Linked DNA regions of Kluyveromyces lactis. The protein of the gene in region 1 binds, or shares a complex with, the protein of each later gene. Links are inferred from orthologs where the notes say so. Each region holds a gene or a part of one and is shown on either strand. Other genes may lie near its edges.

Region 1 (3,763 bases):
GATACAAAATGGAGCTGTTCTCTCTCGTTGGGTTGATAACATTTTCAACCTCATCGAAAACGAATGGATGATTACATATCTTCCTTAACTGCATGACCTTGTTGTTCAAACCTTTGATACCAGCCTTGGTTGCACCTTCTGTTCCTGCACCAATAAAGAAAGCATTATGTTTTAACATTTGTTCGTATAGTTGCTGCTGGAGACTTGATAGCTTACATTTCACAACCTTCTCAACTTTGTCAGGTAAATCTTTTTCGACTTCCTTCTTCAAACGACGTAACAAAAATGGACGTAAAACTTTGTGCAATCTTCTAATAACTAGAAGCGTTTCTTCTTCTGTCATTTCTAGCTTTTCTTGAGTACCTGTGTTCGCGAATGGTGTATTAAACCATTCGTCAAATGTTTTTGAGGAATTAAAGATCTTAGGTAAAACAAAATTTAATAGAGCCCACAATTCTGGTAGATTATTTTGCAATGGAGTACCCGTTAAAATTAGCCTATTTTTTGTTTTGTAGTAATGTGTCAACGTGTAAGATAGTTTTGATTGAGCGTTTTTCATTCTATGACCTTCATCGATAATCATATGAGCCCAATCGTGTTTGGCCAACAGTGGACGATCCTTTATAATGTACTCATAAGTAGTTAGAACCACGTCGAAATTTCCCATTTTGATTGTATGTTGCAAAGCCTTACGTTGGTTTGGGTTCCCTTTGTACACAATGGTTCTTAGAGAAGGTGCCCATTTTTCGAATTCTATAGTCCAGTTCGTGATGGTGGATAAAGGGACAATCACCAAAAATGGTTGCCTCTCGTTCTTTATTTCATAAAGATAACTGATCAACGAGATGGATTGAATTGTTTTACCTAGACCCATTTCATCTGCGAGAATACCGTTAAGATGATTATTGTATAGAGACACCATCCACTCTAAACCCTTTAGTTGATACTCTTTCAACGTGCCTCCAACCAATATGCTTGGCTGTTTGTCTACTGTTTCCTTAATTCTGTGGGAAACCTCGTAATAATCAATTTTTTCTCTTTCTTCATCCGTGATTGGAGGAATTTCTTCACCCCTTTTGATGCGTACCTCATTTTGCTGCACTCTAACCGCTTGAGCAAGAGAATCCAAGAAAGAATTAGTTTGTTTCAATAGATGTGTAATTCTTGTATCTTTGGTTTGGTCTAACAATTTCAAATATGCTTCTTCATCATTGGACTTCAAGGCTGCTAAACGTTGCTTGGCAGTTCTTTCCATTCTTCTCTGCTCATCTTTCTCCAAATGACCATGCAAGTTTCCGATAGATCTACCCATTTGATAACAGCGATCACGTTGTGTTGTATCATTCTCCAATCTTTCGTTGATACTTGATACAATATTATTGATCCTTTGTAACCGTAAGTTTCTTTCTCTTCTCCTGCTTTCTACCAATTCCTGCCTTTCAAGTTCTTCTGCTAATCTAGCAGTTTGTGGAACGATGGTCTTCGGTCTAACATGAATGGATCTTTGAGCTGCTAAAGTATAAGGAGAGTCACGGAGAGATGGAATGATATTATGCGATTTAGCTGCAACACTTTCAATCAGCCTCTTTCTCAAAGATTTCTGTTTCGTTAGCATTTTCAAGGACTTGAGCTCCACCAAAGCTCTTAACTTGAAGTCGTCTGCGCCGGTAGGAATATCATCTTTAGTTACAAAATCAAGCGCATCATTTAAAGAATATGTTCCCAAATTAGAGGGTAGATTTTCAAGTTGTTTAATTCTTTTCGCAATGAGTGTGGAGATTATTTTTTCAACCTCCCAATCTCCAAGCGAGGCTTCATTTCCAGATTTAAGACGAAAGTTGCTTAAAGCTTCGGGAAGGCCTAAGCGCACACTTGTTTCGTCGAAATCAACAGAAAGTTTAACCTTCTCCAGTTGTACCGAGATATCAGAACTGTCGGAACTTACTGATTCATCATCATCATCCTCTAAGAGGCCATCCGGTATATTTATATCTTTACTCAAAAGCTGTAAGCTTACCATTTGCTCCTTCAACAACTTTTCGTCCCACTGAATATCTTTGGCTGCGTTTTCTCTTAACCTCAGCAGCCTTTCCTTGTACTCTTCCTGTTTATCCGAGATTTGGGTGAAAATTTGTTCAATAGCCTCAACTTCAAGCTTATTATGATCTCTATATTGAGAAATGTATCTGTAACGATAAATCAAATTTTCTAATTGTTCTTTCGTTTCAGGTAGTGGCAAGATTACTCTTTCCACCTTCTTCATTTCTTCTAGAACAGCGGCAATCTGGTTCTGTCCAATAGCACTACCACTGTCGTTCCGAAAATTGTTGTTGCTTCCTTTGTCAGCACCAACATGGTTGTCTTCGATATTGCCGTTAACGTCCTGGTTTTCAGTTTCGGAATTCCCATTATCAACATTCTCAGAATTCACTATAGGAAGCGGATAAGGAGGCGCTGTATCCGCGTTATTCGTTACGACGACTTGATCCATTGTTGTTTTATTTCACACTTCTTAACGTGATCCAGGTCTCTTCCCGCTAGTGAGCTTTAAACCTTTTTTATTCTGAAAGGGGGTAAAACAATAACTGAAGTCCTGCTAAAAAAATTCAGAGTTGTCACAAAGCTAACGCGATACAAACAGGTACTATTGCCCTAGAATTCTTTACTGTTTCGCTTTCGGTGCGTCTATTTTTTTAGCCGCCGTTGCCGTGTTGAAAACAAACCTCTGTTCGTCCTTTTCTCGTGTCAAAACTAAATTCAGAATAAAATCAAACTGTTTTCAAATTCATCCTCTTTTTCACAATTTTATTTATCGTGTTTACTTTTTTCTTTGACATTCACTATTGCCATGGGCCAAAGTACGGGTAACAACAACAAGAACCGGGTAATAAACCAACTTCGATCACGTGCCAAAATATTCGCATTAAAGTGGGCACCATTGTTTCTTTTCTTGTTTAATATTTCATGACCTAAAATGAAAATTTGGATAATACGCCATGGATGAGATGAGATGAGATTAGATGAGATGTGATGAGAGTGAACTATCAAGTTCCCCGATTGAGATAGTTACAGTGCTTCGAACTGTTACAAAAGTGTCTTCTGTATTGACAATCAAGGTTTGAAGAACTAAAATTCTCTGATTATAATGTCATCTCTTGCAGCTGCTCATGCTACCAACGCTGTGAACGCATTGTTGCAAAGCGTACTGCCGGGTTCTGCGTCGGTTAATGCAGAAAGAAAGAAAACAAGCCGAGACAAAGGCTCGAAAGCACAACTAATAGATAGGAACTTGAAGAAAAGAGTAGAGGTACAAGAAAAGGATGTATACCGGATCAAAAAGAGGGAGAAGAAAATGTTGAGAAAGAAGATATCTGGAAGAAAAGAAGTCCAAGAGGATATAGAACAGAAGGCTAAGCTACAAGTACTAAGAAAGCATCAAGTAGATAATTCTCTTACGGATCATGAGAAATCCTATTTGGATAAAGTGGTGAAGAAAAATGTTCGCAACCTGAAAAGTTGGGATTATGACGATAAGGAAGAACTGTTAGATTTACAGAAACAAATACTTGCCAACTCAGAAGATTCAAAGAAGGTAAGGAAGGTAAAATCTAGGAGACAAAAGAAGAAACAGTTCAAGGAGAAGCTACCACAATCGATACAAGACCACAGATATAAAGCTCTCACACCTGGATTGGCTCCAGTTGGTGCGAGCGATGAGGAGGAATCAGAAGACGAAGATGAAGATTATTGAGCTCATATTTAC
Region 2 (3,270 bases), on another chromosome or scaffold:
AAGTTTTGGTAGAAGCACAAACAGAAACTATACTGCCAATTCAGACAATCTCGAAAACTTAAGAGGATATCCAAATCGAAGAAGAGGAGCGATAAGAGGAGACAGCGGTTCTGCGGACTACCTTTCAGGATCAGATTCAATTCCACAGACATTTAATGAAAATCAACAGCAGCTTATCGTGCATGATAAGCAGACAGAAAAATTCTTTCAATATATTGTTGAGAGAGGACAACACATAGGTAAAAGAACTGCCGCTTTCCCAGGTTATTCCAGAAAATTCCTTTTTGAAGATATTATCCCAAGTAAGTTAAGTCAGGAAGAAGATGAAGAGATTATACCTGTTACTAAAAGAATTGCCTGTAATGCCTTTTTGTCGCTTTTACAATTGGCTACTTCGAGCAAGTTGAAAATTGATCTTTATAATGTAGAGCCTGAAAAGGTGTTCAGGGTACTAAATGGAGATGATATCATTGTATATTGCTAACTGGATCGAGTGAGAGTGTTTTTTTTTTAATAACTGACGTTCGGTTCTCTTGAGAGTGATTCTTCTTTCAAGCCCCATTTTTTGAGTAAATTTATAGTCTTCATATATTACACTGGAGCTACATAATAGCTAACTAAGGTAATACACTAATCCAGAATTTGGCTGTTTCCAAACGGTCGTTCTCTGAATCTCTTACAGAGAAAGTAACAGTGTTCAGACCTTCTGCCAACTTGATATCGTATCTTGCTTTACTTTCGTCGAATTTATCCCCATCTAATACTGGTATTGGGTTTACTTTATCCTTGTTTGCTATCAAAACTGCAGGGCTATCTTCTGAAACAGGAGAGCTTAATTGTGAAACCACAGTAATTGAATTTTGTTTTGGTGGTAGTGTAATAGCATATTCGTGGCTGGTTTGGGTGAGGGCACCATCTGCGAATATGTATTCGAACCAAGTGATATTGTCGGAATTCTGATACAGTCCCTTCAGTGGTCGTATTGATTGTTCATAAAAACTTCTAGAAGAAGAAATCTGAATCTTTTCTATCACTTTATAAGGCACTGGCTCTGTCTTTGGTTCAATGTTGTGCTTTTTTATAACAGGAAGGATGTTAAATTTCAAGGGAAGTGGTTTATCTGGTTCATTGTTTTCAACTTTCGAGTCTGCAGTTTTACTTGTTTTTGATGGTCCCAAAAGGTAATCTCTAGACATTGGGCCTCGATTATATCCATTTCCTAGTCCCTCTATATAATTGTATTCTTCGTTAGTTTCATCATCATCAGAAAGAATTGGTTCTTCCTCTTCTTCTTCTTGTACGAACTGTTTATATTCAATTTTGTCGTATTCCAGCGTGATTTCTCCTTTTTCTCTAGCAGTTTCTAATTCAGGGAAGAACCTTCTTTGGATCAATACACTAAAACATTTCATCAGCTTCAATGCATCGCTATATATTGTAGTATCTTCGTCATTGAAAACCAATGCGTTTTGAAACGTCAAATTAACATCGGTAATGAAATCGTAGATTTTGTGATAGTATCCAAGTTCTAAGTTATTTTTCACCAAGTTCAATGAGTTAGGTAAACGAATCACTTCTTCATATTCTGGATACTCATCTTTATCTACCAATTCAAGGAACGGTTGGCATATGTTTAAAGTGTCATCCAAGTTGTTGTTAGAAGCCGCTTCTAATTTTACGTCATCATCTTCTGCTAAGATTTCTGCCATCTGTTTATCTGTTACATTGAGTAAAGTGTCAAAGATTGCTATGAAACGTGTCTTCACATCATCGTTAACCAAGAAATTTCTTGTAGCATTTTTTACTTTCAACACTTCATTTTTGATGAAATATACCACTTGTTTCGCATTTTTAACAATAAGAGAATCTGGATCGTTATATGCAAGACAGTTCTTGTAGATCAGTTCACAATCCAATAAGAACTTGGTTTCCCCACCACTATATTCGTAATCCCTGCTTTTAATTTCGTTAATAGAGATCGGTTGATCAATTTTGTAATAGTACTGTGGATGAAACTTCCTACTGGGTAGTTTGATAAAGTGTTTGAATAAAGCCTTGTGAGCTTCAACTAAATTATCCAAAGTAAATGCGATGAACAAATTCAACTTAGGAATAGTCCAATCTAGATCTACAATGAGCTCTTCTGTAGGATCCAAAGGGTGCACATAATCCACTTTGGGTAGAGCGCCGCTTCTAGGACGTTTTCCTGGTGTATATCTTGGTACATAATTCTGTTTTGAATGCTTTTGTTCGGGTTCCTCACTGGGATCTTCTGATCTGCTTCTTTTCACAGCCATAGTATTTGGCGCTTTCCAGTTTGTTTATGCTTTTTTTTTTGCCTCCTCGCTTCCTTGGCTTCTTAAATGAACAAATTTCAGTATATATGCAGCAGTCAAGGCACTTACTCTAACCGTACCTAATTGGCTCCTTTGACAAACCAAAATCGTATACTGCGTATTGTTTTATATGTCTATTCTACAAAGTTTGTATATTTCAATGTTTTCAATAAAGAGAGTGAAAGTACCTTTACAAGATTGAGAAATGTTCAGACGTATATAGTGATATATCGCATTTCAACATTTGGTGAACCCATTTTGAGTGCGCTAATAGTGCAGAAACCTATTGCGTCACGATTCGATATTGGCGACCAATGGCTTGTTATATTCCACGGTAAGGTTTTTCACTAGGTTAGCGAAGTACTTTTTGTGAAATTCTTGAATCGCCTTCCTTGTGTCCTGTTTTATTTTCGAACTGGGAAGTACCGTTAAGGGTACGTCATGTAAAATTTCTCTTTGATCTTGCACATAGCTCGAACCTAAATCGTGTGAGGATGCTACGATACCGCTGTTGCTGATCATACCTATATCTATAAGCTTATCGTTCGTATTATTCACGATTTCGGTCAATTCAAGTTCTCTTGCAAGCACTCTTTCCTTCTGTCGTTGTTCCATTTCGTTATAATCTAATTGGGCTTGTGAGCCGTACCTGTCCTGTTCCTGCAATAACGGGTCATTTTCGTCGCTATCTTGACGAAAGCAGCAACTTAGCACATTTCCCATAATATTTTAAATGTTTTAGGCAGATTTTCGGTAGCTACTGATGCTAGAATTCGTTAGTAAACGTAAACTATCTCATTGCCTTGGTGGCTTTAAGGTAAAGGAACTACACTTACTATAGATGTTGATAAAAAGCACTGGGAAGCATAAATTTCATATTCTAGTATGTGGGTTGTGGGTGTTTTGAATAGGGTAACCCCGTCTTCTTTATCTA

The links. Proteins that work in one complex are often made in the same cells at the same time.
Region 2: STH1 (region 1) and RSC4 share a complex: the UniProt entries of both Saccharomyces cerevisiae proteins name them as parts of the two forms of the RSC complex. The link is inferred for Kluyveromyces lactis from reciprocal best matches to the Saccharomyces cerevisiae genes STH1 and RSC4.

Annotation. Positions count from the first base shown.
Region 1 is NC_006042.1:437,193-440,955, forward strand, and holds the start of STH1 (RSC chromatin remodeling complex ATPase subunit STH1), read right to left. Parts: upstream 2,492-3,763; coding exon 1-2,491. Other genes in the region: RRT14 (Rrt14p), read left to right, coding at 3,146-3,751. UniProt on the Saccharomyces cerevisiae protein: Catalytic component of the chromatin structure-remodeling complex (RSC), which is involved in transcription regulation and nucleosome positioning. RSC is responsible for the transfer of a histone octamer from a nucleosome core particle to naked DNA.
Region 2 is NC_006037.1:259,654-262,923, reverse strand, and holds RSC4 (Rsc4p), read right to left. Parts: upstream 2,298-3,270; coding exon 618-2,297; downstream 1-617. Other genes in the region: REC8 (Rec8p), read left to right, coding at 1-484; MEH1 (Meh1p), read right to left, coding at 2,628-3,059. UniProt on the Saccharomyces cerevisiae protein: Component of the chromatin structure remodeling complex (RSC), which is involved in transcription regulation and nucleosome positioning. RSC is responsible for the transfer of a histone octamer from a nucleosome core particle to naked DNA.